Linked DNA regions of Rhinolophus ferrumequinum. The protein of the gene in region 1 interacts with the protein of each later gene in a pairwise test. Links are inferred from orthologs where the notes say so. Each region holds a gene or a part of one and is shown on either strand. Other genes may lie near its edges.

The links.
Region 2: the proteins of SNRPA (region 1) and TRIR interact in binary tests that used the Homo sapiens proteins (3 or more experiments, as listed by UniProt). The link is inferred for Rhinolophus ferrumequinum from reciprocal best matches to the Homo sapiens genes SNRPA and TRIR.
Region 3: the proteins of SNRPA (region 1) and QKI interact in binary tests that used the Homo sapiens proteins (3 or more experiments, as listed by UniProt). The link is inferred for Rhinolophus ferrumequinum from reciprocal best matches to the Homo sapiens genes SNRPA and QKI.
Region 4: the proteins of SNRPA (region 1) and NDUFAF3 interact in binary tests that used the Homo sapiens proteins (3 or more experiments, as listed by UniProt). The two-hybrid records come from large-scale screens. The link is inferred for Rhinolophus ferrumequinum from reciprocal best matches to the Homo sapiens genes SNRPA and NDUFAF3.

Annotation. Positions count from the first base shown.
Region 1 is NC_046298.1:39,328,469-39,336,111, reverse strand, and holds the start of SNRPA (U1 small nuclear ribonucleoprotein A), read right to left. Parts: upstream 3,007-7,643; 5' UTR 2,851-3,006; intron 2,405-2,850; 5' UTR 2,383-2,404; coding exon 2,310-2,382; intron 1-2,309. Other genes in the region: ACTMAP (UPF0692 protein C19orf54 homolog), read left to right, coding at 3,975-4,291, 6,279-6,347, 6,872-6,996, 7,318-7,447, 7,535-7,605. UniProt on the Homo sapiens protein: Component of the spliceosomal U1 snRNP, which is essential for recognition of the pre-mRNA 5' splice-site and the subsequent assembly of the spliceosome. U1 snRNP is the first snRNP to interact with pre-mRNA.
Region 2 is NC_046301.1:48,815,024-48,822,379, forward strand, and holds the start of TRIR (telomerase RNA component interacting RNase), read left to right. Parts: upstream 1-4,355; 5' UTR 4,356-4,437; coding exon 4,438-4,776; intron 4,777-6,656; coding exon 6,657-6,734; intron 6,735-7,029; coding exon 7,030-7,137; 3' UTR 7,138-7,356. Other genes in the region: ATPase GET3, read right to left, coding at 1,811-1,958, 2,782-2,942. UniProt on the Homo sapiens protein: Exoribonuclease that is part of the telomerase RNA 3' end processing complex and which has the ability to cleave all four unpaired RNA nucleotides from the 5' end or 3' end with higher efficiency for purine bases.
Region 3 is NC_046286.1:103,614,436-103,622,302, forward strand, and holds the start of QKI (KH domain-containing RNA-binding protein QKI), read left to right. Parts: upstream 1-4,861; 5' UTR 4,862-5,362; coding exon 5,363-5,504; exon of another isoform or gene 5,505-5,552; intron 5,553-7,867. UniProt on the Homo sapiens protein: RNA reader protein, which recognizes and binds specific RNAs, thereby regulating RNA metabolic processes, such as pre-mRNA splicing, circular RNA (circRNA) formation, mRNA export, mRNA stability and/or translation.
Region 4 is NC_046300.1:7,226,958-7,233,385, reverse strand, and holds NDUFAF3 (NADH dehydrogenase [ubiquinone] 1 alpha subcomplex assembly factor 3), read left to right. Parts: upstream 1-4,341; 5' UTR 4,342-4,796; coding exon 4,797-4,873; intron 4,874-4,973; coding exon 4,974-5,166; intron 5,167-5,322; coding exon 5,323-5,389; intron 5,390-5,487; coding exon 5,488-5,588; intron 5,589-5,667; coding exon 5,668-5,784; 3' UTR 5,785-5,919; downstream 5,920-6,428. Other genes in the region: DALRD3 (DALR anticodon-binding domain-containing protein 3), read right to left, coding at 1-28, 136-197, 286-356, 689-802, 907-968, 1,053-1,309, 1,425-1,720, 1,802-1,966. UniProt on the Homo sapiens protein: Essential factor for the assembly of mitochondrial NADH:ubiquinone oxidoreductase complex (complex I).

The DNA.
Region 1 (7,643 bases):
ACAATGGCCTCCCCTCTCTCAGGCCCGTCACACCAATTCTGCCTTAGGACCTTCACACTGGCTACTCCCTCTGCCAGGCACACCTTTCTCCTGTGTACATGGCTGCCTCCTTTTAGTCACCCAGGTCTCAGCAGAAATGTTGCCACCTAAGTGGCCTGCCCTGACCACCCGGTCTAAAGAAATGCCCCCTCCTGTCACTCTCCCCTCTCCTCATACCCTACTTACTTCTCCAAAAACATTTGCATGAATAGATACCATTACGCAAGCGTTTTAAGGAAAAGTCACCAAATGCTCACAACCACCCCATGAGGGAACAACTACAACTGTCCCTTTTTTACTACTATGGAAACAGGGTCTCAGAGGATTTGTCACTGGCCTAGGAGTATCCCAAGGATTCTGGGAAGATCCTGTAGAGTTGGGACGCAAGCCCATTTGAAACCAGTATCACCACACCTCACTAGCAAACCGCTTCACTTGACAGCTGGAACAGGGTACCAATCTTATGCAAAGAAGGTATCTGAGATGAAAATGCCTGATGAAAAAGATAGTAAATAGGAAAAAGATAGTAGATAGGAAAGGGAAGAAAATGCGTGGGGGAGTGGGGAGAGTAGAGAGAAAGCAGAAGTGTTTTAAAGCAATTAGCCAAAATTCTCCTGATGATATTTCCGGGTTTTGTTTCCATGCTTCATCCCCTTGAATCCAGTTTGGGTCTCAGTCATTCCCCTGGACTCTGGCCCACTCCCTCCAAAGCTGGGAAGCTCTTTCACAATTAACTGAGTTCCTTGCCTGGCTTCCCACACCCTCAGGATGAAGTCCAACGCCTCACCCTGCCCACAGAATCCCATGAGCCATCAGTGCACGGCTCACTGGAAACTTCTCCTTGAGTCACAGGCGCACACACAACTATCTGTAGTTCTCAGAATGCCCTAGGCTCTTTTGTCCCTAGACACCTGTACATGCTGGTTCAGGTTAGGAACATTCTTCTCTCTCATCCTTATAAAATAAATACTATTTTTGATCCACAGTTAGTAATCTGTGTATGCAGAGGGCCGACTTAGGTTATACATGGATTTTCGACTGCATGGTCGGCACCCCTAATCCCTGCGTTCTTCAAGGGTCAACTGTACTGCTTCCTCTACCTGGAAAGCTTTTCTAAAATATCTTTTTTATGAAACTCAATGAAAGCCTCTTTCTCAGTGCCCAATCCCAGCCCTGTGCTTCCCCAATCATGGCCCTAGCTACTCTGGGCTATCACTGTCTGCTAGCAGGTCTCTCATCCCCACAGGATTTGTGGCTCCATAAAAGCAGGACCAGGACTGTTGCAGTCATCAGTGTATCCCCAGCACCACAGGATATTGCCTGAGCACCATGCTCTAAAAGCATATGGGTAACTTACACAGTTTATTTTGTTTTCAACAGCAATTTTACTGGTAACCTCAAATTTAATCCTATCAATCTCCTTTGGTTCTCCCCACAATGTTCCTGAAGTAATCATCAGAGCTAACATTTAACCAGCCCTTACTAATTGCTAGGTACCATGAAAAGCACTGCATGAACGCTTAGCTAATTTAATCCCTGTAACATCCATGCAAAGAAGGCATTATGGTTTTCAAATATAGAAAATGAGGTTCAATAAAAGTGGTAACTTGTTGAAGAAAATAAAAAAGTTATGTCTGATGTTAAGAATTAAGTGAAGCAGAATTCCACACTGGTGACCTCAACCACTTTTATATTTGCTGTGTGACCTTGGGCAAGTTACAGTTCCCTAATCTGAGAAATGGATTAGCTCCTACCTGCAGGGTTGTTGTGAACATTAAATGTAATCAAGATTTATATATCAGCGCCTCATATAGTGTTTGTTAGTCATCATTATTTATTTCATTTTCACTGCTGGCTGATCACTGAAAACACAACAGTGACCAAGCCAACTCCAGTTCTTGCCCTCATGGAGCTCACAGGCCAGTGGAGAGAGCCCCATGACAGCCCAGGCAATCAAGGCTTGAGGGGGTGGTCAGGGGTTAAGGTGGGACATCCAGGGCCCGTAGGATGGTAGAGGCAGGCACCTGAGGGGGTAGCAGATAGAGAAGCCTTCCAGGAGGAGGGCTCTTGTGAGCTAAAACCCTAAAGGATGAGCAACAGTGACTAGGTTAATGAGTAGAGCGTAAAATGAACTGGGAGAGTATTAAAGCCAGAGCAAGCAGCACGTGCAAAGGCCGATGTGTCAACATTTTGCCCTGGAGAACGCTGTGGAAAAGAAATAGCCGGCTTATAACGGACAGCATGGAGTCTGGACTCCCTCAAGAACTCACCATCCTTCTTGATCTTCTCATTGAGGTTATTGATATAAATAGTGTGGTTGGGGCGGGTCTCGGGAACTGCCATGGAGTAAGGTGCTGAGGTAGGGCTGAAAAAGAAGGAAAAACAGAACTTCAACCCTGAGTTTCTCCAAATCTCTTGTCCCAAAGCGGACTTAACGGACTGCTTAGATCTTAACGGATCTTCCTTCCAGGACGAGGTCAGGTAAGGCCGGGAGAAGGCAAGAGGAGAGCACTCGCTTTGTTAAGCAGTATACCGCGTGTCCCCCGCGCGTGGTGAGGGAAACCTCGAGGTTTACTACGAGTCCCAGGATGCTCTACGCGATTCAATAGACGGAGCGTCCTGACCGGCGATTCCCATTGGCCCATGAGCTCAAAGCCGGCCCAGGATAAAGAACCCAGATGTAAAAGCCAGTTAAGGAGGGGCGGCTTTGCGGCGGGAAAATAGTTTCCCTACACAAGGCTCAGGAACACCCAGGCGCCAAGCGCTCCGCTCACCCGATGCCGATGGCTACCTGCGCCCGAAATCACTCACCAACAGAGCCGCAGCTCCAGCAAGGGGTGCCTGCTACGTTTCTGAGCGCCGACCACGAAGCTTCCTCTTCTGGTTCCGCCTGTCTTTCTGCGACCCAACCACTGCACGTAAACTCGTTACGTTGACCAATCAGATTAAGTCTCGCCCCGATCTTACCAATCAAAGCTCGGCCCAGAAATTTGCCAATCAAAACGGCACTTGGGTTCCCGCCTCGTCAAGAAAACCCCGCCCACCCCCTGCAAGGCCTCCTGCCTTCTGCGGCGCTCCGGGCTACCGACCAATCTGTAAAGGCTGCGCCTCTAGCCAATCGGGACGTGGCTCGCGCTGCAGTCTCTTCCGGACGCAGTCCTTTGGAAGTCCCACTTCTCTCCCATCGCCCCGAGTTCTGTGTCACGTGATCGCTAAAGGGACGGGGCCCCGTGCGAGCCCTACCACGTGATAGGGGAAAGGGCGTGTGCGGCGGCCGCCATTTTGCGGGAAGTGGAGACGCGGTGCACCGTGACTCTTTTTCCTATTCCAGCGGTATCGCGGCTCCCTATCGCCTCCCACCTCTGAGCCTTGTTTATCCCACAGACTTTTCCTGTTGTGCTCTGATTCCAGGACCTTCACGACTAGGCCATTTAATCTGCCTGATGTCTTTTTGACCTCTAACTCAAAGGTCAGCTGGAAGGTTCCGAACTCGGGCCTGGGATGTGAGGAGGGACAGAGCCTAAAATTCTACTTAGTCTTTAACCCTGGGCCTCTAAAACCCACCCTTTAGGCGCCTCACCCCAGGTATGAGCCTTCATATTCCAAAATTGACCCCCAAGTTTCTAAGTCTAGCCCTGTATAATAAATGAATTCCTACTAAATCTTCAGCCTTGCAACCCAACTGCGTAACACAAATTTGATTTCTGGTCCTGTTTAAAGGGCCCCGCCCTGTTAATCTTCAGATCTTTCCTGATTTAAGTCAGCGCCAATCCCTGCTTCCATGGTTCCAAATTTTAACCCTGGTTCCTTCAATACCACTGCTCAGCCCCCCAGTTCCAGGACTGCACTCTAAAACCTTCAGAATCTCCATCCCTGAGACCACCAATTTTGGAGAATCCTTCACTCTCCCTTCCAGCCATACCTTAGACCCCAAAATGATTTCTCCATGTTTTCCTCCAGTAGAGACCCCAGTCCCTCCAAGACCTCTTGCATCCCAGGCCCCTATCATTCCACCTCCTCCCCCACCTCCGCATTCCCCCAATTTAGCCTTTCCACCCTCTCCCTCAAGTCTCCAGGCCCCTATTCCCCCACCACCCCCACTGCCACCTCCATCCTTTGCCACGGGGGCTGCTCCCCCTCATGTCTTCGGCCTGGAGAAGAGCCACCTTCTGAAAAAGGCCTTGGAGAAGGCCGGCCCAGTCCCCGGGAGCAGAGAGGACGTGAAGAGGCTCCTGAAGCTGCACAAGGACCGGTAGGGTGTCCGTGCCCCACCCCAGCCACCCAACCATCTTTCCCCAGATGGCTTCTGTCATCTCCTCTTGGGGTTTCCTACTTCGAGGTCAAACAGCCTGACTGCTTCAGCCCGCTCCTTAGACCCTTCAGTGGTTGTGTGTCTTTAGCCATGAAGAAAGATCCTCCTTCACAAACACAAGACCAGTGGGAGAGACAGATCCCTCCCTCCACCAGATGGTGACAGCCCAGAGTGGTCAGAGGGAGTGCTGACCCAGGCTGTGAGTCAGTGGGGCCTACGTGGAGAGGAGGACCCCTGAGTGCTGTTGAGCAAGTTATCAGGGTTATGTGATGAGAGTAACCAGCTTGTGCAGAGACCCAGAGTGAAATGAAGATAATGTGCTTTTTTTTTTTGTACGCAAATGTTTTTTTAAGCTGGGAAAGAGCAAACATGGGGTTTCATGGGTGGATCGGGCATGGGGGCCATGCAAAGGAAGGTGACTATCCTGAAGGTACCAGGAAGCAATGGGAGGGCTTTGTGTGGGGGAGGGAGGCCACTTAGTGGGAGTGGAGGTGGTGAGACTGGACTCTGGGTACAGGAAGAAGCTGGAGCACCCAGGGACCCAGGCAGGAGGTAAGGGGGCTAGACTTGGTTGGGACTCTAGGGACTCAGTTTAAAGATTGCCTGGCTAAGGGGAAGAGAAAGAAGTGAGTAGCCCAGACTCATAAGAAACTTCCAGTTTTCTAGGCAAGCTGATAATCTGCCCTAAATGCCTCAATTATAATGAGGCAAAATTAATGTAAATGAGAACACCCGTTGTTGTATGCTTAGCATATACCTGGCACTGTTCTAAGTGTTCTTAAGTACATATTTAATCCTCTCAGCAGCTCTGTGAAGTAGGAACTATTATCCCATTTTCCAGATGAGGAAACTGAGGCTCATAGAAGTGAAGTCACTTGGTTTCAGTGCTTAGTAAAGAGCCCAGTTTGAACTATGGCAAGGGGGCTCCATTTAAAAAAAAAAAAACACAAAACATTTTCCCCCTTTTTTCCACCTCCCGCCCCCACTGCGGTTCAGCCATTGTTTCTCAGTCTAGTTGTGTAGGGCATAGCTCCCTGGCCCATGCTGGGCTGAGGCAATCAGTCACCAGTCGCCAGCTCATGATGGCCAGCGGCAGCTCATGGCAGCACTGCTCACGGCAGCCCAGCTCCAGGGGAACTGTTGTTCACAATTTTAGCTGTAGAGGGCGCAGCTCACTGGCCCATGTGGGAATCGAACTGGTGACGTTGGTGTTAGGATCACGGTGCCCCAACCACCTGAGCCACCAGGCCAGCCCTCCATTCTTTTAAACACTATGCTGTTAGCTCCTTTCATTAGGAGGGCATCCCCTACACCAGCCTTGCGCTTTCACTATCACTATCCTTGGAATAGAAACAGGCACATCTCGCTTCCCCTCTTGTGCCCTGGATGGGGGAGGAATGAATTGGAGTCACCAAAACTGTCAGAGTGGCCTTCCCTAGGGTAGGACTGCGCAGGCCTACAAAGGACTAATTGTCAGGGTGATCTCTAGGCCTGGAGCTTGTTGTCTGGTTTTACTCAAGGCTGATTTAAGGGATTTTCACCTTATTTAACAACTTGAGAAATAGGCTGAAAGGGGAAAAATCAGTTTGAGTACAGAGACACGCCTTCAAGAAATTCCCTGTAATAAATCATTCTGGCTTCTAGTTGCAAAGCTTTTGTACGTCTGCTCTTAACCCCTTCAGTAACTACATAAGAGGAGCGAGGAGACGCAGGTAGAAGGGTCATTACTACTGAGCATATGAGGAAACTGAAGCTGGGGAGGGGAAGTGCCTCGGGTGAAGTGGGCAGTGACCCAGCCAGGAGCTGCCCTCAGGCCTCAGGGTGGCCAGGCCTGTGTTCCTGCTCTTCGCTGTCCTTTGGCACCCACTTCCAGCCAGGCCTCGGAGGGGACTCTAGGAGCTGGTTCCCGAGTGTGGCCCTGATTCAGTTTCAGAAGTGACCTGCAGTGGATCCTCTTCTGTGCCGACCTGCCCTCCTTCATCCAAGAAGGCCCTCAGTACGTTCCCTGAGCCAGAACCCAACCCTTTGGCTGGCCACGCATCAGTAACCCCTGCCTTTGCTGTGCTCCATGAGGCTTGACCTGGGAGGGTGTGGGGAGTGGGTTCATCTCATCCCAGGCAGAGCAGGGAGGACCGGGAGGGGAGGGGAGGAGAGAAAGAGGGGGACCTTATCAGTTCTGGACCCTGGGTGCATGCGCAGTAAACAGTTGGAACCAGTGAGCGAGTGAACACATGAACCTGGTCCATCATCTCTAACTCCACGTTGGCACCTACTCCTTCTGGAAGCCCAGGTGACATCTCTCCTTAGCCTTCCACCCCACCTGTAGCCCTCTGGCCCTAGGCCTAAGCCGTGGCCATTCACTCCCCCATGAAGAAGAGTCAGGTCTCCCCACCTGGGCTGGGAGAGGGGAGGGGAACTCCCTAGGACAGCCAACCTGTTCCCCACACTCCAGCTTCCAGGGCAGTGGGGGCCCAGTTAGGACATGACTGAGGTTGAGGGGCTGGGCCTGTGTCTCCCCAGGTGCGGACTGGTGGCCCTGTGGATGGCAGGCACTCTCCTGGCGCCCCTCAGCGGCATCCCCCTGGAGAGACTCATGCAGATGGCCGTGGAGAGAGGCTACTCGGCCCAGGGAGAGATGTTCTCAGGTGAGATGGGTGCAGAAGGCTCATAAGCCAGGCGTTCTTTACCAGGAAGGGACTGGGGAGGCGGGGTGCACGCCTGCCAGCAGGGGACCTTGTTCCCTTCCTCAGGCCCTTCTCCCCATCCAGCAGAACAGAGTGTTACAGGTAGACTCTGGAGCCAGGCTGCCTGCTCCCAGCCCAGCTCTGCCACCTCCTCCTCTGTGACCCTGGCCAAGCAGCTTACCCTCTGTGTGCCACATTTTCTGCATTTGCAGAAAGAGGTGATGGTGTCATGGTGAAGGTTAGAGGTGGTGATCCCTCACTCTGTCTGCTCTGTCCCTGCAGTGACCGACATGGGGAGGCTGGCCCAGGAGGCACTGGGATGCCAGGCAGAGCTGCTGTGTGGCGGCCTGGGTGGTCCCAACAGAGACCGTGTGCTGCAGCACCTTGTCGCTGGACACCCCTTGCTCGTCCCGTATCCCAGGGCAAGAAGGGAGCAGGCCTGGGTGGAGCAGGGTGGGCCCCGGGGCCACACACAGCTTTGGCCTTAACCCAGCACCAGCTACGATGAGGATTTCAACCACGAGCCGTGTCAGAAGAAGGGCCACAAGGCCCACTGGGCAGTGAGCACAGGTGGGTCCCCACTGTGTCCCTGTGCCCTCACCATGCCC
Region 2 (7,356 bases), on another chromosome or scaffold:
ACTCCTCTTTCCTTCTGTGTTTTGCAAAAATCCCCATCCTGGCTCTCTGGTATGACTGCACTGAGGTGAGTAGCAGGGGAACACGCCTGACGAATGACTTCCACCTTGCTCCGTATTCCTGATCACAAATCTCCAACAGGCATTTGACGGCCAGACAATCCACCCTTGGGAGTGTTGATGTCACATCTTATCCTTCCTCAAAGCCCTTCTGCCCCATTCGCTTCTTGCTCCCTGCTGAGATCTGTGCCTCATCTGTGCCTCAGTGAGAAAGAAAGCCGCTGGCTGCCAATACCCTCATCGCCACCCCCCCCGCCCCCCGGAAATACTCCATACCCCTGGCCTTGCCTTTGAGTCCCTGGCCCTGGCGTAGTCCAAGTCCTGGGTCTGTGTGCTGGATGGAGCTCATGCCCACCTGAGGACCATCCTCTGCCAGCATCCCGGCTCCCTCCTGCAACATTACCTATCCCTCCCTATTGGAGCATTTGTGTTAGCAAAAAAATCATGCTCTAGCATCTCTTTTCTCAAAAAAGCCTTCCAGGGGGCAGCCGGTTAGCTCAGTTGGTTAGAGCGCGGTGCTCTTAACAAGGTTGCTGGTTCGATCCCCACATGGGGCACTGTGAGCTGTGCCCTCCACAACTAGATTGAAACAACTACTTGACTTGGAGCTGATGGGTCCTGGAAAAACACACTTAAAATCAATTTAAAAAGTTAAAAAAAAAAAAAAAAAAAGCCTTCCATAACTCTTCTCCCATATCCCTCCAGTGATGGCCCCATTTCTTAGCCCCTATCATGGCGGGCCCCAATCCCTGTCTCCACCTCCTCAGCTCACCCACTCCAGGCAGGCTTTTGCCCCCACTTCTAGGGTGGTCTCTCTAAAACTGATGCGCCTACTGGAGCCGACAACCTCTTCCTGCCCAAGTCCTTTGTCCTCTGGAGCTTAGGAGCCCACACCCTCTGGCTTTTCTCTCACTTCAGTGGTGGTTCCTGCATTGCTGGACCCTAAATGATGATGTGACCTCAGGTTGTTTCTGGGCCTCTCTGTTCTCTCACATTCTCCTCCACTCACAGCTTTAAATACCACCTTTGGGACAATGACTTCCAAATCAATGCCAAAGGCCACTATCCTGCTGTGTCCACTTGATGTCCAGTGGAAACCTTGGATTCACCATGGTCAAAACAGAATTCCTGATTTGTCCCTTCTAAACCTGCTTCTCTCCTAGTCTCCCCCATCCCTGATGCTCAGGAGCCAATTGAGAGACGTACTTAATCCATTTTTTTCCTTCACCCATCGCAACCAAGCAGTCATATTGCTATACTTCCAAAATACATCCCAAACTTAACCATGTCTCCCCCAACATTCTGCCCCACACCCGAGTTCCAGCTGTCATCATCTCTTGCCTAGTCACTGCCCTAGGCTCCTTGCTGCCATCCTCGACTTACAATTCAAACCCCACATGGCAGCCACAGGGAACTTCTTGAAAAATTAATTTGGCCATGACAGTGCCCTGCTTAAAATGAACAGCTTCCCATTACACTTGGAATCAAAGCCAAACTGCTCCCAGTGGCCTATAAGGTCCCACAACTCTCTGACGTCTCCCTCCCTTTGCTCATTGCTAAGTTCTGGTCACTGTGGCTTCCTTTCCGCTCCACAAACATTCCTCACTTGTTCCCCTCTGGGTATGTGGAAGAAGGAATGAAACTAGACAGAGGATGTAGAACGGGCAGCACATTGTCGCTGATGGTAGGTGTTCACAGGAAAGGCCTGAACGGGCCTTTGCTTGAATAGGGAGCTGAGCCCTGTTCCACTCACCATGGCGAAGAGGTTGTCATAGCCTTTGACCTTGGTGGGCACCTTGGAGAACTTCTGGTCAAATGCATCCGAGATGTTGTGGGCTGGGTCAGTGGAGATGATCAGAACACTTTCCCGCCCCTTGGATAGCTGGACTGCCAGGCTGCAGCTGGGCAAGGGAAAGGTCAAAAGGCAAGGAGTGAGGGGTTAGGCTCTGCTCCCTAGGTCTGCATGGAAAGATGTGGGGCCCAGAAGCTGGCCGGGCCTCGAGAATATGGCTAATTGTGGAATTAAGTCTCAATCTTTGCAGAAGTACCCTCTCAGACCTCACCTACTGACCCCTTCAGCTGGCTAGCATGGTGAGGTTCAGTATGGCTTGATGCTTGCTTCTTCACTACTCTCTCCTGGCACAGAGAGTCATGGTCCAGCTGTCCAGCCAGCATAGTTAAGGAGTCCCTTGTATCTCCTCAATTCTAAGCTAAGGGGTCCCCTGCACTTCCTGCTAAACTGAGGATGGTTCAAACCAATTGTCCAGGATAATTTGCCCCAGGGACCCCACCCTCTCCTCCCAGTTGACTGGGACAATCTGATCATGTGCCCTTGCCTTCTATCTCCACGTGGGCATAGAATGGCAAGGTTCACTCAGACTAGAATAGTTTGCCCCCGTGTGTCCCTCCCTATACTTTGAGCTCACTCTGGTCCACAGCTGACTGGGACAGTTAAGTGCTCTCCTGGCCCCCGAGCGTTGGGTTCAGTGTGGTCCCGCCCTTGAACCACAACGGGGATGATTTCCCAGAGGGTGCCAGGCCCGCATTCAGGAGGTCTCTTCCATTTGCTCCAGGTAACTTCTGGAGAGTGCAACCCGGAAGACCCCGGCCCAACCCCCGTGCTCAGCTCGGGGTCGAAGAGCGATCCCTAGCCTCCCCTTCGCCCAGATGGGTGGGATGGGAAGATCCCACCCATCTTCCCGGCCCACGCTGCAGCCTCTTTACCTGCAGGTGGTCTTGCCAACACCACCCTTGCCCCCGACGAAGATCCACTTAAGGCTGCGCTGCTCGATGATGTTGCTAAGCGTGGGCTCCAGCGGCTCCACATCAGGGGCATCCTCGAACTCCTCTGCCTCAACCCCCCAACCGGCTACCCCTGCCGCCATCTTGGAACCGGCTCACGTGATCGAGCGGAGCGCACCACGCAAAGTACCAACAGGGGAAATTCTCTGTTATATCCCCATCAGGGCTAGCAACCCGAGTTAATTTCCCCATGGCATTACTTTTAGGAGCTGACAGAAGCTATATTTCCAAAGTCCTCCTCTTCCAGGGTTCACCTTGTCGATCTCTCGTCTATGTTTTCTCAGAGACTCCCCCTGCCTAATTAACATATTGGTACGTTCCAGAATACTCCCCTTCACTGATTGGACCCTAAGTCTCGCAGCGTTCTTTTCATTGGCTACATCTTTTATTACTTTCACCAATCACTCTCAGGTCCTGGTAGCCGCCAATCTCTCCTTAGCAACCAGCCAAACACCCGGTCCATGCCCTGAAGTTAGACCCCAGGTCCGCCCTGGCCTGACTCCATAGGCTCAACTTCTTGTCGATCTTTTCCCCCCTATTCTCCAAACTGAATCACAACATCCTCTCAGGCCCTTCGCCTCTTATCCAATTGGCTGTGATCCATCTGGCTCCTGACGCTAACCAACCATAGATGAATTGATTAGTTGGCTGAAAACCTGTCTCGGGGCTGAGTGGGCTACAGGGAGAACGACTCCGGTTGGACGAAATTTGCAGATCCTTGTCCAGTGCGCACTGAACCCCTATGCTGGGCAGACCAGGGCAAGGACCAGACCTGCAACCGCGCTTCTTGTCTTCGAAGGGACCCTATTCCCGAAAACTTCTTAGTACTTTTATCTTTGTGGAAGGGAAGACTCCAGCGAATTCCCTGTTTGAACCTCTGCACTGGGCAGGAATACAAGATGGGTCTCTCATGCGGTTGGCGGACACTCTTAACTATAAACTGGGTTACCCCAGCTTGGAAATACCTTCTCCTGAGAAGCTTCTTCTGAATATTCTAGCTCATAAAATAATACCCTGATTCTCAGATGGGGACCCCAGCTCCACGGAGCTAGCTAGGTGTCCGCATTTCCAAACGAGAGCTTCATCCCAGAGACAGGTACCTAACCCAGACACCTCCATTTCTAGTCCGGGGGGGGTCCAGGCTAGATACCCTCTATAGACTTAGTTAGGGACCTAGATTCCAACGTGTCAGTTGAGTACACATCCTTAGAGGAGATACCTCTCCTCACTGAGATTATTCCTGGTGCTAGAAGGAGGTTCTAGCCCCGTAAAGCTAATGCACCTCCAGTCCCGTGAGGGCTACAGCCCCAGAGGACGGTCCCACTCCGGGGGAGACCCTGCACGCATAACGCCTGCCCAAATCTAGAGGGTTATAAAGGTCCGCGGGGCGGGGCCCTCCGGTCCGCCAGTCAGGTTTTACCCCTCATTCGTCCCGCCCCTCAGGCCCCGCCCCCACCGCGGCGCTTGGGGGTCAGAGTGTTCTTCCCGGCATGCATTGCTCGGGATCGGCAAGTCCGGCGGCAAGCGCGGGGCCGAGGCGGCCTTCCCGGAGTCCTTTGCGCGGCACTTGGCGACAAAATGGCTGCCCGAGGGAGACGGGCGGAGCCTCCGGGCCGGGAGGCACCGGGCCCCGCGGCGGGCGGCGGCGGCGGGAGCCGATGGGCTGAGTCGGGGCCCGGGACATCGCCCGAGAGCGGGGATGAAGAAATGTCGAGCCCGGTGTCGGGCGGCGTGAACTTGTTCGCCAACGACGGCAGCTTCCTCGAGCTGTTCAAGCGGAAGATGGAGGAGGAGCAGCGGCAGCGGCAGGAGGAGCCGCCCCCGGGCCCGCCGCGACCCGACCAGCAGGCCACCGCCGCCGCCGCGGGTCCCGGGGATCCGAAGAGGAAGGGCGGCCCGGGCCCCACGCTCAGCTTCGTAAGGAGCCGCGGGGGTGGGGGCGGGCGCCGGGGCCTGCCATGGCAGGGGGAATCGGCCCGAGAAAAGGGATCGGGATTCAGGTCCACCCTCCGACCCCGATGAAGGGGCCATCCGGGTCACTCGTTGAGGATGCGGAACCTGGATTTCCGATGCGCGAGTTTTGGGGGTGGACGTGGAGAGCCCCGGAGCTTGCTCGCGAGAACCGGGAGCCGAGGCTGGGGAAACCAGGATTCCTATTTAGTGGTACTCGAACTTTGGGTACTGGGACCATTTCCCAGTATTCGGAAGGGGAGCAGATTCAAATCTGGAGTCGAAGATGTGTGGAATAGAGACTCAGACCGCTTACTGTGTGACTTAGGAAATTTTCTTGACTTCCTGAGTCCCCTTCGGTTAGTGTCCATTTATTGAGCACCTTACCTTGTGCTGGGCATTGTGCTTAGGTGCTGGATATACCCTGGTGAACATGACAGACAAGATCTCTGCTTTCCTGAGCATCTGGGCCTATCTTCATATTTTCTGTTTGGAAAAATGGACATTGTCTCATCTTCTGATGTGATGAGGGTTCAGTGAGGCCATCCTGGAAAAGTTGTTAGTTAGCATGGGGCCTGGCTTATAGGAAGGGCTAAACCAGTGGTTCTCATTTGGGGATGATCCCCCCATTTAGCAAAGTTTGGAGGCAGTTTTGGTTGTCAGAACTGGGGGAGTGGGGTGTTATTGTCATCTGAGTAGAGACCAGGGATGTTGCTCCACATTCTACAATGCACAGGACAGCCCTCGCTGTCCCCCACCCCATTCCCCAGCAAAGAAGGATCCATCTCAAAATGTCATTACTGCAAGATTGAGAAACTTGAAACAAATGGCACCTTTATTGATGGTCTACTCTGAGCTTGCTTTGTCTCGTATTGAGATCAAGTCCCTGTGGTGTGAAGAAAAAAGTGTTGACTCGAGAATAATGGAGTGGGGGTCAAGTTTCATCATCCACCAAAAATGGGTGAGACTAGTCCCAGCAGGGCAGGTCACTTACTGCCAGGTTGAGGGGAGGAGATGATGCCTGTGAAGACTGTTGCAGCCCTCAGTCAATGGGAGAAGATGGAGGCCCAAGATGAAAGTCCAGACTGAGACTTCTGTTTGAGGAAAGGGAAATGTCAGTACCTGGGTTGGGATGGTGTAAGAAATGTGTAGAGGCCAAGTACCTCTCCTTGAGTGGGAGTAGCAGTAGTTGTCACAGCCTTGTTCATTGAGGGGCTGTTGTTGGAGCACCCTATAGAAGCCAGGCCAGGCCAAGTTAGGTGCAGGGGATATAGCGTTGCTTAGTCGTTACGGATGCTGCTCTGTGGCTTGGACCCACCTGACCCTGAACCAGCTCCATTGTTTGCTGCCAGGATGACCAAGGGTAGGGGCCTCACCTTCTCGAAGATGTTTCCTCATCTATAAAATGAGGATGGTTATAACCTATCTTAGGGTAACTGTGAATGTGAAAGGAGATGATACATTCAAAGCATTTGGCACAGGGCTTAGCATACCGTAAGTGCTCAGTAAAGGGAGATGTTGCTGCCTGCATGGTCACTGCCAGGGGAGGGGGAGGATTTAGCATGGAGAGTGAGGACAGAGTCCATCCCCACGGATGTGGGGGTTCTTCTCACTCCGTGGGAAGGCAGCCCCGGGGGCCCAGGATTGCCTGGGCATCATGGGCCCAGGACAGGCGCTGAGTCGCGTGTGCTCCTCTCTGATTGCTGCGCAGGTCGGCCGGCTGGCGGAGCTGGGCGCGGCGTCGGGACGGGCCACCGGGCCGGGCTAGGAAGGTGTAGTGGGCCTCAGCGCCGCCAAGGGCGGGCCCGGCTCCTGTAACCGTTGCAGTCTTCTGTCCCTTCACCCAGGTGGGCAAGCGCAGAGGCGGGAACAAACTAGCCCTCAAGACGGGAATAGTAGCCAAGAAGCAGAAGACGGAGGATGAGGTGAGCAGGTTGGGTGCGGGGGGGCTGCCCAAGTGGCCTTTCCTTTCCAGCCTCAGCACCTGGCTAATGAGCCCTGTCCCTCCCTGTCTAGCCTCCGGGCCTTGGATGTGGGTACTGGGTGGGGGAGGAGGGCTTTCAACGGCTCCAGATCACTTGACTCTGAATATCTTGACCTCAAACCTAGGACCTCTGGGATGACACTGGGGGTGGGTCAGCTGTCTCAGGACAGTCCTGATCCCAGTTCTGGCCTCCCGGGCATCCCCTTCCCAACCTCCTGTGCCCCCCCACCCCACAGGTATTAACAAGTAAAGGTGATGCATGGGCAAAGTACATGGCAGAGGTGAAAAAGTACAAAGCCCACCAGTGCGGCGACGATGATAAAACTCGGCCCCTGGTGAAATGACTCCCTTCCCCCACCTGCCCACGGCCTGGGACTCTGCGATGTACATAACTATTTAATGCGGCGGCAGCGGTGGCAGCGGCGGCAGCCTTTCCCCCCAAGGACTTACACACAGAAGGAACCCGAGATGCTTCCCGCAGCCGCCGGCGATCCTCCAGGACTCTTTTTTACCTTGAGCACTTGCCTCCTGAGACTTCATAGAACAGTGGTTTACTGTCCTCT
Region 3 (7,867 bases), on another chromosome or scaffold:
AATATTTTTACCTCTGAAGTTTCATTTAGGGTCAAATGAGTAGAAACCTGACACGGTCAGTTAACATTTAACTGCTCTGCAGTGGTTTAAGCTAAATGTTAGTATTACATCTGCAGCCATCATGTTAGTGGTTTAAAAAGGCAGCACAATTAGCATTAGAATGGCTGTGAAGAACAGTGCCTTTTATTTTATGAATGCTGTGTTTGCACAATCAGATATAAATGTGCCTCACTGACTGGAATCCATGGTACTATTTTATTGATTAATTTCCTTGTATTAAAAAAGAAACTTCCTACGTCTCTTCTCTATGAATACTTTAGCTTGAAATTCAGGGCCAACCAAAATCTGGCATCTACTACTGTTGAGGAAACTCCTACCTTAAAGCCTCAGACTGTCCCACTTTCCAAGTTTTTGTCAGTGCCCTCCCTGAGCACTTGTATGGTTTCTTCCAGCCTGAGATCAAACCCACCTCCGGGGCAGTTCTGCTTAGGCTTCCAGGCCTGGAGTGGCAGTGCTCATTTCCATTCCTACAGCATTTTGTCTTTCTCATTTACTTTTTTTTTCATGGACGGTGTAGGTGCCTGAGCACTGCAGTATACACCTGAAGCTAAAGCTGAATAATAATATCATTTACTTTTATTAGTTAACTTGTCATATGTGTGTGATATTAACCCTCAGCTTAGCTCCTAAGTGCCCCAGGGTTCATTGAAGACAGGTATTCAAATATTTATTGATTAAGATATTCACACTTAAAATGTGTCCTTTTCAACCTTTGAAATGATAAGCCATCTCACAATTTAAAAGGAGACTCAAAAAATCTATTAAGACAATAAACAAAGATTGACTTTACAAAGATACTGGGAATGTCCCATTTCCTCCTAGGAAAATTTAAGGATTTAAGATTTTTAGAAAGAACATTTGGGACAAAAAGCCATCAAAGACTGATTCTTAAATCCAAGGAATATTTGCATTCCTGCAAGAACTCCATGGTGATGAAGAAAAAAAAGTGTGGAATACTATAATTCTCTATTTAAATGTCAAGAATAGCAATAAGCAAATAGAAAATCAAATTTAGAACAGAAAATATTATTCCCACTCATGGTTAATTACTGATGTTTGATATGGAACCATTTTAGTGTCAACATATTAAATGACATAATTTTTCACAACGACAAAAAACCATTATAAGGATCTTTCCAACTGGAAGCTTACCCATACATATATTCTGAGTATGTTGTAACTTGTCAATGTCGTATTACGATATGTTTGTAATAATGTGATTGAAGAGTCCACATTAATTTTTAGATTTTTAAGCATCTTGAAGGCAAGTGATTTTTGTATTCTCACTGCACTTATTATATGTTGGGTAGTGAGTGGTGTACTATAGACCTCAAATGCCGGAGGCAGGAGTGTGACGGAGAGAAGGACGGGAACTGTGGATAGTGGCCTTGTGTGCAATGAGGCACCTGGCTCTTCACGCCCGTCTCAAACCTCTGCTGTACTGATTACAAGAAATAATGTAGATAAGGGTTTTGCATAGTTCCTGGAACATAACAGTACTTAATACCTTTTTTGAACATATTTTTAAAGAGTGCAAACATATACCACATGCTGTTCTAGGTGTTGGGAATTCCAAATAGAACAAAATTGAGTCCTTGCTCTTGTGGAGCTTACCGTGTAGGGGTCGGTGACAGACAAACCTACCCATAGACAGAATGTGTCAGGTGGAAATAAATGCTATTTAAAGAATTAAAAGGGGAGTAAGCAGTCTGTGTGTGCGCGCGCACGCTGTGGTAAGGGAAGCCTTCTCCCATCAAGAACTGAGAAAGGGTGGGAGTCAGGCTTGCAGGTGTGTGGGGAAAACTGCAAGGAGAGGAAACACCCAGTGCGCAGCCCAACAAACTCAGGAAGAGGATTTTACTTCCCCTTTTTCTTAAAGAGATCCAGATAGAAAAACCTACTACAGGAAGGGACCTTGGCATAATCACCTTGAGCATTTTCACCCTAGAATTAGTCAGGAATACTCCAAGCATGTTTACTAGCCACCCACTGTGTCCAATGCTTTGCCTGTTTAAGGATGGGGGAGGGGAGGGAATTTTAGGGTCTAGGGGAAGAGGGGTGGACATAAGGTCAGCGAAGCAGCAGGGGGTCAGAGCACATGGACTCTTGGTAAGCAGGCCTTGGTAAGAACTTCGGGTTTTTTATTGGAGAGGGGAAACCATTGAAGAACTGTGAGCAGAGAGGTGAAGTGACCCATGTGAATTTGAAAAGCTAATACAGAGTAACTACTATTGCCAAATGCTGTAACCATAGGGATTTACTACCAAAGAGTGCCTGTCTTGGTTCTTTAACTCTGATCTGGTTCACCTCCTATAAGTAAGTACGTGGTGAAGTCATATGATATTCCAGTTTCTATGGGTCAAAAATGGTCAAACACTGTCAAAAGGTTCAGTGTGACTTATTGGGGTGCAAAGAACATGGGCTTTGAGTAAAATATAAGTGGATTTGAATCCCAGACCTAGGACTCATGAGCTACAGTCCTGCGCCAGTTACTTAACCTCCTTCTCCTTGGTTTCCCCTTATATAAAATGGGGATAACAGCATGACCGACGCCACAAGGTTGAAGTGAAGATTAAATAATACACATGTAAAGCACTTAGCACAGGACCTAGGAGTTTAATATGGAGGTGAACCAATTAAGAAGGGGGACTGAATCTTTTACACTAGCAGATCAAATAAATAATTTACTACCCAAACCCTTTCAAACCACTTATCATTTTGCTAGGTATTGAAGAAGCACACCTTACTTCAGTTTTAAAAGAGACAACAGCTTTTTGATGAAATCACTATTTCTTGCATTTTTATAACTCATCCTTTAAATAATTAGTATGTGAATATTCTATGGCGCTATTAACTGCAATGGATGTCAGGTAACTTATTTGAGAGTTAAACGTTAACTTTGTCCACCAAGGCAATTGCATTTCCTCTATCAAAGTAGCTTAATTTTAAAAACTCACTGTGTTCTTCAAATGAACAGGCCAGAAGTTACTTGCCAAAGAGAATTTATTTGAAATTTACTTAGTAGCTTCAGTGCAACTCAATCTTAAAAGTTCCTAAGAATTTGCTTGAAGCAAAATTTTACCCCAACCCCCCCCCCCCCCCCCCCCACTTAGGTTCCCAGTTAAAACACAGTACACACGATTATCAGAAAATTTCAGGTACAGGTAACTCTCACAATGGTCAGTTTGATAGCAAATAGTTGTATCTAAATTATTAATTGAACGTCACAAAATGCAGATTTAGTGACTGATAACATTGCAGAAACCAAAGAGAACTACTACATTGTTGTAGTTCAGAAAATTCTTTCCTAAACTAACCTAAATATTTGAAATCCATCATACTGCAGGGAAAAGCCTCTTGACCACTGCATGGTAATTTTTGCAAGTTTGCAAATAGAATGTTGACTTCCGCTTTTCAAATTGGCTATATGCTCTGTGTTTCATTTCTTTACTGTGGCTGCATTTTATTACTGGATACCGCTGCCATCACGAAGCAGAACATTGCAAACGCCATTCTCGATGCTCAGAATTTCCAACGCCGCGGAGCTCATTCCTGACCATAGCTGGCTCTCGGAATAACGGAATGCGGCAGCAAAGCACACCATGTCCCCACAGACGCGCCCACCGCTCGGACAGGTCACTGCACGGGCAGCAGTAACGCCGTCGGGGCAACGAGGGACGCCTACGCTAGACCGGCCGCTCCTCAGACTCCGTCCGCCGCGCGGCTCTCAAAACCGGAGAAGACCGCGGGGACACTAGGAGTCGTCGTGCGGTCCTCTCAGCCACACCGCGGCAGTCGGAGCCCACCGCGAACAAGTCCCGCGGAGGCGGACCCGGAGCCGCACAAACATTATAGCCGGGGCCTGGGAGCAAAGACCTCCTCGGCTTCCCGTCCCCGTCCCGGCCGTTCGGGGTCCGACGGGCCCCGCACCCCTCGCTGTGGTCCCCACACCAGGGCCAGCAGACCCGGGCCCGCACACCCCTCCCCCTTACCCCCTGGGGGCGCGCCCCCTCCCCACGCAGGCGCGCGGCAGGCCCCTCCCATCCTCCCCCTCGCTCACGGAGCCGGGCGGGGGCGGGGCGACCCTCGGAAGGGGCGTGGCCGCAGGCCTCGACACGCGCACGCGCCCTTGCACCTTACGGCTACGTGTCGGGACACGTGACGCCCACCCCGAAAGTCCCCCTTGAAGCAACAGGACGTTAAAAAAAATAAATAAATAAAAGAAATTTGGGGGGTTGAGGGAGGTGGAGGAGAGGAGGAATGAGAGCTTTTTAGAAAACTATAGTAACGGGAGGAGAGGATGAGGTCGGGCAGCGGCGAGCGCAGCCCTGGCGCGTCCTGCTGGGAATCCCTCTCACCTAACGCCACAGCCCGCCAGCGCCCGCCAGACGAGCCGGCCAGGCGGCAGGGAGCGCGAGGCGGCGCGGCACTCGCCCCCGCCCCAGTCGAAAGCACCGCCACCCGGCGCCCTCCTCAGGACGTCGGTCCCTCCGCCCTACACCGGCCCCTCCCGCCGCTCTCATCCGCCCGCGGCGGCGACCCCGGCCCGGCGCCCAGGCCGGGCTCGCAGTGCGCCGCCTCATTCCCGTCGCCCACCCCGCGGGGGGGGACGCGGCGCGGCGGCGGCCCCTGGGCCGGGGGATGCGTGCGGCGGCGGGAGGAGGAGCGTGCCGGCCGCCCCGCTAACGGCCGCCCTGCGCGGCCCCGCCCGCCGCCCGCCGCCCGCCCCCGGCCCTCCCTGCGCCGCCGCCCCTCCCCCCGCTGCCGCCGCCGCCGCCGCCGCTGGCAGCGCCGACTGAACTGAGGCGAACTCCGCGGCCAAGTGAGTGAGGAGGAGGAGGCGGCAAAGAGGAGGAGGAAGAGGAGGAGCGGAGTCAGAGCGCGGCTGCAGCGGCAACGGTAGAGGCGGCCGCGGCGGGGACCAGCCCGGAGAGACCCCGAGCCCGCGGCACAGGCGGCGGCTGAGCGGGCGCGACCAGCAGAGCGAGCGGCGGCGGCCCGGCTCTTCCTCGTCCGGCCCCGAGCGGCCCGCGGAGACCCGCCTCCCGCCCGCCGGCCTCGTGAGGGACGCGCCGAGCCGGCGGCCGAGAAGCGGCGGCGGGCCGGGAGCGCGTCGGGCCGCGGCGGAAAGTGCCTGCGGGGGCGGGGAGAGCGCGGCGAGCGCGCGGTCCGGCCGCCCCAGCGCCCGGCGCGGGAGCGAAGCGGAGCGGGACGCCGAGTCCCGAGCGGCCGGCGGCCGGGGCTCCCCGCCCCTCCCTCCTCTCCGGCGGCGGCGGGCGGAGTGAGCTGCGGAGCCTGGAATATGGTCGGGGAAATGGAAACGAAGGAGAAGCCGAAGCCCACCCCAGATTACCTGATGCAGCTGATGAACGACAAGAAGCTCATGAGCAGCCTGCCCAACTTCTGCGGGATCTTCAACCACCTCGAGCGGCTGCTGGACGAAGGTGAGTCGCCTCCCGGCCCCTCGCGGCCCGCGCCCGGGCGGCGGCCCCTCTTCCCGGGACCCGACGCGCTCCTGCCAGCGTGTGGGGAGGGCGGGAAGGTCGTGGCCAGAGGGGACCGTGCGCCCGGGGACCGTGAGGCCCGGGCGGGGCGCACGGAGGCGGCGCCGAGGCCCGGGGCGCGGCGGGCGGGCGGGGGTCGGCGGCGCGGGCGGGACCCACCGGCGGGACGCCCCCCAGCCCCCGGGCCCCGCGCCGCCCGAGGGCTGCGCTGAGGAGGCTGCACGGCGAGCCTCCCGCGCCCCCGGCTGCCAGCCGCGCCTGGGAGCACCGCGACGGCCCGGAGCTCCGCGGGCCTCCCGGGGAGGAGCCCGGCCCCGCGCCCCGCGGGCGCCTGAAGGACACCGGCCTCGGGGCCGCTCGGGGTGGGGGTCTCCTAACACGGAGATTCCAGTGGGGCTTTTGCTGATTTGGAGTTTGTGTAGCTTGTAAATACTCGGGGGGAGCCGCGTGGGGCTCGTTAACTTAAAGGAATTCCATAGGAGACCGAAAGTAATGCTGATTTAGCCGAAGGCGAGGACAAAATGACAGCGGAAAGCACTTTTTGTCCTTTTGTTTGGGGAAGCGAGAGAACTGTTCGGGAGTTTAACTTCACTGGGGTGGGGGGGGGGGTGTTGAATACGAAATACCGCGAGGACAAACGCTGAACGGAATCCCGAGTTTCAAAGAACTTCGGCGGAGAGCTGCTCCCGAGGACGCCGCTGCCTTGGTTTGTAGGACAGGAAATCAAGGCACTTGAAAGGGCGAAAATAAAAATTAGTGAAAGTTTGCAAAAAAAGAGAAAGCTTTATCCGTGTAGGGCCGCGGGGAGTGAAGAATGACAAGATCAATTTTGGCCAACTCGAGAATTTCTTTACAAGTTCTTGCAGCCCTGACCTGGAATATTAATCTCTATCTAGTAGCTGTGAATTTTTTGGACTAGAGAAAAAAATATGACCAACAAAAACGTCTATTTTGAAAGTCGAGTACCAAAGAGTTTCTTTTTATGTCTAGAAGCATCACCGAAGGACTGTTTAAAGAAAACTGAAAACTTTAATAGTGATGAACAATGGATTTTAGATTTTTCACAAGAATTTCGTGATTTTTACAGTATAGAACTGGGGAAAAGGAATCAAGCTTAGAGATTTGGCATGTCACTAAAGAACAAAAGACCGGAAATGTTTCCGTGATAAAAGATGGTTAAAGAGGAATCCCAGGAGCTTTCCGTTGTCTTGAAAATCATAGAAACAATTTTTAAAGTACAAAACAGATATTACTGAGTCCTCGTCTTTGCTTACATAGGTTAAACAAGCAGCAGCAACCGCTATTGAAATGGTCTTTTCCCCCACTGTTGAAACAGCAAATCTCTTAATTTCAAATTGCTCCAGAGAAAACTTGAGCTGTCCCTTTAAGGGGTTCTGCTTTTCCTATTTGTGTTGGCATTTGAAAGATTGTGGAGGCAGAAAACTTTCTGGAATGTCAAAAAAAAAAAAAAAAAAAAAAAAAAGGCTGGAACTCTTAAATCGAGTATTTCCAAATGTGAGCGCTAAGGGGCGCCAGTTATTTTTTTTAAAACGAGAAATGTTTGGAGCAAACTGTAATGTCAATAATCTGACCTATATTAAATTTAGTTGAAATTTAAATCATAGTAGATTATTTCATCTGTCATTTTGTAATCATATATGTAGTTACAAACATTGAAAACACTTTAAAATTATTGGGACAATTTTATCACATTTCAAAAATAATACGCTATTTTTTAGTTGGCATATTTTGGTGAAGTTACAGTTGTCTCAGTGTTAGTGAAAATTTCTGTTAAGATTTTTTTTTCCCCTTAAGTACAGTTGTTTAGCAGGAATTCTTTATAGTCGTTAAAATGAAAATAGGCCATGATGATATTTAAGATTAAATTGCATTCTTTTAATTTTAAAATGTTAAATTCAATCAAATGGCATAAGGGATTATTTTTAAAAGTTTGGAAATATTTTCACCTCATGCGTACTATTTTTAAAAGTAAATTGAGTTCTAAAAGGCTCTTCGCTTTTGCTTTTATGTTGATCTTAAAACCTCTAAATGATAATTCGGAGTTGGTTCTCTGTTAGAAAGTTTCTGACCTCAATAATTTTTCTGGCTTCAATAATTTTAATCTTCCAAATCTAGAATTCCAATTATGTCATTATCTCTAACAAATGTTCATTTCTCTCTGGTTGGAAATAGTAACCACTTGAGTTTTAAATGTTAGAGGCTACTAGTTGAGGGTGATACATTCTAAATAATATGTATATTTTTTCTTTTTAATGTGGTTTACTCTATTAGTGTTATGTTAG
Region 4 (6,428 bases), on another chromosome or scaffold:
ACCCTGAAGGTTTCTGTCCAGGCTGGGTCTGAGGGAGTTGGGAGCAGTCAGTCTTCATGGGCAAGGAACAAGGGGTGGGGTGCAAATGACCTGCCCTTGCCCTGCCCAATGCACAGCCAGGCCTCCCAGGTACACCTTCTGTCAGGTCCCTGCTGTGCTTCAGTGCCGAGGCCTTGCAGACCTGCATGTGCCGGAGCCTACATTTTGAAAAGAGTGAGAAGGGGGCCAGTGGCCAGAGTCCCCACGTCAACTACCCTGGCTTGGTGGCCTTCTGGCCTCACTCACTCGTAGTACTCGGGGGCAGTCAGGGTGCCGGGTGTACCAGCTACTTTCACTGAGCCACAGACCAGGTGCTTCTGTCAGGAAAATAGCAGGGGCTCAGCCAGCAGGCGACACCTTCCAGTAATAAAACCCTCAAGGAACTGAAATCTGGTGCTTGGACTCCCCCAGCCTTTTACCACCAGGCGGAGTGCCTCCCTCTCAAGCTCAGCCCCTCAGGACTCAGTCTAGCGATTTAACGTCCTCCGGGATGTGCCTCCAGACCCACCCCACCTTCTCCCAGGACTCCACCTGTTGCACGTGCCCGTTCACCAAGCCCAATGTTTCTCCAAGGTCAAGTGTCCCCGTCTGGACCTGTCAGCTGGCAGGCCCCTGGATGGGTTTTCAGGGGAGCTCTGCCATCACTAACCTGTATGAGAGGAGCCTGATCATCCAGCTTCCACCAAAGCAGGTCCAATTTTTGTTGCTGGAACTCCTCCTCACAGCTCACCACATGTACCACCATGCAGCTGTCGGCACCGGCCTGTGGGGGAGGAGGACAGTCACTGCAGGGACAGAACACCTGCTTTGCTGGAGGCCTGCCTACAGGGTGTGGTGTCAGCCACTCACCAAGCCTCAGGAACCTACCTCAGGCCAGTGCAGCAGGGCTGCCCTCAGCTCAGCCAGCACGGAGAGCAAATCGTCAGTCACTGCAGAGGGAACACACAGGCTGGGACTAGCCAGGACTGCAGGGGTCCCCGCCTTTCTGGCCCTAAATAGGCTCCAGGTCCTACCCAGACAGTTGTCCAGATTGGGGTCATAGCCAGCTGCGCGTCCCCGTTCTTCCAACAGATTCTTCAGGCACACACTGCCCAGAACGCCAGGGGGCAGGGCTCCCCTGTCATCGGCAGGGCTAAGCTCTGCCAGTGCGCGGCTCCTCAAGGATTCGGTCTCGGCTCGCTCCGAGGTAGCAGGCCAGTCCACCCACAGCTGCTGCAGGAAGGTCGACATGTGCGGATCCCGCACAGCGGGCACTAGGCGCACACTCACCCTGCGAAGCGAGGGTGGCCGCTTCAGCCCGAGCAGCTGGCCCGATTCACCCCTATTCCCACCAGGTGCAGCCAGTCCCCAAGGGCCACGCCCTTTGGTCTCGCGTCCCCGCTCACCCGTGAGCATGCAGAGCTCGCGCCAGGTGATCGGCCACGAGTATCACCCGCAGCTGGCTCAGGCGGAGCGCGCAGGGGGCGGCACGCAGCGCCGAGCAGTGGAGGAGGACGCGCGGGCCCGGCGTGGCGGGTGCGGCGGGCGCAGCATAGGCCTCCACGGCGCCGAGCACGCGCTCGAAGACAGCCGACCGCTGCAGCTGGAGCGCTAGGCCTGCGGGGGTCGGAGCGCAGCGCAGCACGGGAGCCACGCCGGGGCCCTGCAGGTCGCTCACCGCATGGAACACACGCTCGGGCACCTGCGTAAGGACAGGCGGGTGAGCGGGCCGCGGGACTCCCAGCTACCCCTGGCAGACCGTCCCCGTCCGGCCCGTGCCCACCTGTCCGTCCCCGAAGCGCGCCTCCAGCGCCCGCCGCGGCGCCAGGAAGTCGCGGGCACGTAGGTGGCGGGAGCGCGTCTCCTTGAACCACACGGGGCCGCCAGGTCCCAGGGCCGCGTTAAGGGCCCCCAGAGTCTCTTCTACCCCAAGGCGCCCCGTCGCCATGACGACCGGAAGGAGCAGGAGGAAGCGGAAGCAAAATATCGGGAGGTCGAACTTCCGGGAAGACCGACTGGCGGGGACGGAGATCCGGCCCGAGTGGGCAGGTGCACCAGGGGAAACAGTAGCGGCTGCTTTCGACAGACTGCCCCGGCGTGGCCCACCTGCCCTGCTTGGTCCCGGGTCCGAAATCTCGGAGTCCTCCGGGACCTACGGTTCTTCGTTACCAACCAGGGAAAGGATCCTCGCGACTTGGTGGGGACTCTTGCTCTTATCGAAGTCTGCGTTTCATTTCCCCATTTTACACATGAACAAAATGTTTAAAGTTCCAAACGAATTGTCACCGGAATAGGGCAGCGAACCATTAATGCCACCTTCACGAGCTACTAAAAAAAATAAATAAATCTCATTTTAAAAAGAATTTGTGTTCCGCGGTTTCAGGTTATTTGCATTTCCTACTTTAGAACATGGGTTGTCTTTATTCCCACTGATAGAATTGCCAGTTTTCTCGTCTTGATTCTTGAGGAATTAAAGCCATCATGACGGTTTCCAGAATTTCCGGCTTTTGAAAGCTTTCTCCTTTAACCTGGTGTACTTTAACAGGGACCTCCTGCTTCCTGGTTTATGCAACGAGCCATTGTGGGCCAACTAAACACTGTGACCATGAGAAGAGCCAGCTAAAGGGCAGCCCAGCTGGAGCTTCCCACTCCTCTGCCCAAGAGAAAGTTCTTTCCTGTCCCCTATGTTTTCACTTCAATGTAACTTAAATCCCCTTTTCCCTGACACAGCACAGAGTGCTGGGAAAACAGTGATCTCTGCCCTGGAGCAGTGACAGTGCCCAGAACTCAGAAGGGAGGGGACCGTAGAGGCAGGAAAAGCTTGGCAAAGCCCCTCTGTGGGCCAGGGCTTCAAGGCCCTCCTGGGAGGCGCCGAAAGAGCACTGGGCGGACACGACATTCCCGATGGCTTCTTCGGTGCCCACTCAACGGGAGTGATCGTGTCATTCCAAAGCGCTTTCTATGCCGCAGGCGTGCGCCTCGGGGACAGTTAACAGGGTTGAGCCTGGAGGCCCAGCTGGGGACTTCAGCTACTCTCCGTATACGAAGACGGTTTAGGTGGTTTTTCCCCAGGAAGTGAAGGGCTATCTTTAGCGAGCTGCGGGCTGGGGCAGCCCTGTGGGACTCACCGCCATTGCAGCCCTATATGGAGGACTTGGGTCCTCCCTCCCTCACCAGTGCTACCCCGGGTTCCGGAGATGGCCACCTCCCAGGCTCTCAGACGTCTACGCCCGTCAATTCCAGCATGAAGGCGCACCTGAGAGAGGGACGGAGACCAGAACGATCCAGTGAAGTATGTCTGGGGCTCAGGGGCTCGACCATCCCATCTGGACCAGGACGCTGCTCAGGCAGGAGAGCAGGGAACGAAATCCAAGCGCAGCTGGAATGCTCTGGAGACAACAGCTGCTTTTGGGATTCCGTTGCCCGCTGTCCAGCCGTTGGGGGGAGGGGTCCCTCGCCCTGGGGCCAGATTAGAACCCCCCTTACCCAGGCCCAGGAGGCAGACCTAGGAGTAGGCAGTGAAACCGAGGCTAGTGGGAACGAGGAGCTCACCTGGGCCCCCAAACAATAGCAGGGGCGGTGGGGACCTCCCCTGGGACCGAGTCCCGATCCGGATTAGATCTGCGGGGTAGGATTGGTCCTGCTGGTCTCATGCAGCCAGAGCCACTTGTGCGGTGACGGTGGCGGGGCGGGCTTCGGGACAGGCAAGAGAGAAGCGCGCCCGTGGGGCCGAGGAGGAAGTAAACCCGCGCGCCCGCCTTGGGGACACCCCCGCACCCGGGGCCCTTTGTCCGGTGAAGCTGCCAGCGCCCAGAGCGCTAGGGGCCCCAGTGGGCCCGTAAGGCGGCGACGGGACCCCTGGGAATCCACTGCGACCGTCCTCATCTGTGCCGAGCTGCCCGCCCGCCCCCGCGGATAGCAGACGCCGCAACGTTCCCCTGAGGCCCCGACACCGTGGGCGCGCGATGTCCGAACACCGCGCGGGCGCCAGTAGGCCCTCTGATTCGGCTCAAACCGGGGACGGGGGATTCTCGGGACGCGAGCAGAGTGAGCGAGGACAGAGCGATGCTCCAGCCGCTGTTTAGTTCAATGTCTGGTCCGGTTCGGCCCGGTCGGTCCCACCCGGACAGCTACAATTGCCCTATCACGGCGTCCCCTTCCGCTACCTCTGGCCGCAGACTGGAGCCATTTTAAGGCGAAACCAGACGGGCACGCCCCCTCTCGCTCCCGGAAAGCCAATCCACGCACGGCCACGCCCCGTGCGGCGCGCGGAGGCGACGGCAACGGTCGCGCGGGTGACGGTTGGGGAGGGGTGTGATTCAGCGGCGAGCGGGGGAAACCTGAGCAGTCCGCCCCGCCCTCGGAACCCGACGCCCCAAAGCCGGGATTAGGGGCTTGGAGACGGGCACCACGCCCTAGCCAGGTGTTCGGGACTGGGCCAGGTGCGCGGCCGCCCCGCCCGGGCCCCCAAAGCCCTGTGTAACGGCTGAGAGCCGGCAGCCAGGCCGCGGCTGGGGCCCAGGCAGTGCCCTGAGGTCGACCCCACCGCCAGGTGTCTGGCTCCCCCAGGACGGTCTGCGGGGGCCCGGGGCGGGCGGGAAGCAGATGCAGACACCGGAGCCGCGCTGGGGGACGCGCCTTTCTGGGACAGATGGCACGGGCCGGCTCCCGCGCTGGGCCGGCCGGGCTGCGCGGCGCCCTCCGCGACGCAGGGGGCGCTGTAGCCGCGCTGTGCTGGGCTCCGCTACGACCCCGCTGACACTGCGCGCGGTTTCGCCATGGTCTCCTCGTTCGTGCTTCGCGCCCTGTACCGAGCGCGACCCGCTCTCCGTTGTCCGCCAGCCGATCTGCTATGGTGAGCCCGGCTCCAGCGTCCCTGACCACCCCGTCCGCCTCGGCCGGCGGCCCCCGGCCCCGCACCTCCTGGCCTAGACCCTGACTGTACCCCTCCGCAGGGCCCCACGGCGTGGGCACCGGCTCACTCCCGCGGATGACGAGCTGTATCAGCGGACACGTATCTCTCTGTTGCAACGCGAGTCCTCGCACACTATGTACGTCGACAGCTATAGCAGCCGCGGCTTCGTGGTCAACGGAAATCGCGTGTTTGGGCCCTGCGCGCTTCTCCCGCACTCGGTGGTGCAGTGGAACGTGAGCCCTTCCCTGCAGTGAGGAATCTGAGGGCCAGAGCCCCAGGGTTGCGGGATTCTGCCCCGGGCAACTTAGCTTTATCGTGGGTCCGTTGTGGAGGTCTGTGGGGAAAGCTCTGTGGATTTGTTGTATTTAACGTGCCTCTTCCCCACACAGGTAGGGTCCCACGAGGACATCACGGAAGAAAGCTTCTCTCTCTTCTGGATGCTGGAGCCGCGAATAGGTATTGAAGAGGCTGAGGTGCTCTGAGCCCCACAGAGCCACCCCCTCCCCAGCCCATCAGCAGACCTGGTTGCAGACTAACTGCCCATCCTTTCCTAGAGATTGTTGTGGTCGGCACTGGAGACCGGACTGAGCGGCTGCAGTCCCAGGTGCTGCGAGCCATGAGGCAGCGGGGTATCGCTGTGGAAGTGCAGGACACGGTCAGTGCCGGGACTTGGGCGGGCTGAGGGGAGCCCAGACCTAGCCCTAGCCCAGCTCATGCTGGCTTTTTCTTTGCAGCCCAATGCCTGTGCCACTTTCAACTTCCTGTGTCATGAAGGCCGAGTGACAGGAGCCGCTCTCATTCCCCCACCTGGAGGGACAGTGTTCACATCTCTGGCCCAAGCTGCAGCATGAATCCCAGGAACTGACCTGACCCTGGCACCTTTTGCAGACTGCAGGGGTCCCAGTGCTTTCATTAGCCCCTCCCCGGTGGCACTGTGATGCTTGTCTTTCTTGCCAGCAAGTTAATAATTTAATGTATTTCTCCCATTTTGTACTAGGTGTGTTGCTTGCCAAGGGCTGCTGGCTCAGTAGGCTCTTGATGGGGGGGAGGTAGAGAAACCAAAGGGTCATCTTTTCATCTAGACCACATGCTCTCAGAAGCCAGGAGGTGGCACACACACCTCTTCCAAACTGCACATGTCTACTTGCTCACATGCAGATTCGGAGGTGATTGCAGTTCTTTCTCCACAAGGTCCAGCAGAGAGTCAAGTTAGAGAAGGTGCATGTGAGTCTCAACCTGGTCCCATGTGGCCAAGCTTTGGGCCAGCAGGAGGCCCTGTGGATGTCAGTCCAAAGCCCCTGGACTGTTCCCTTGACTCGTCCCTTAAGCAGCCAGTCAGAACCTGGGATGGCGCCCCGGGGAGCCAGCTCTTCAGAGCTGGCTTGTGAGCTGCCTCAGGAGGCACTTTTTGAATCTAGAACTACCCCCTTCCAGGTCCATGAGCATCCTTATCTCATGGGGGGTCGGGGGCTGAGGCTTTCCCTGGAAATGAAGG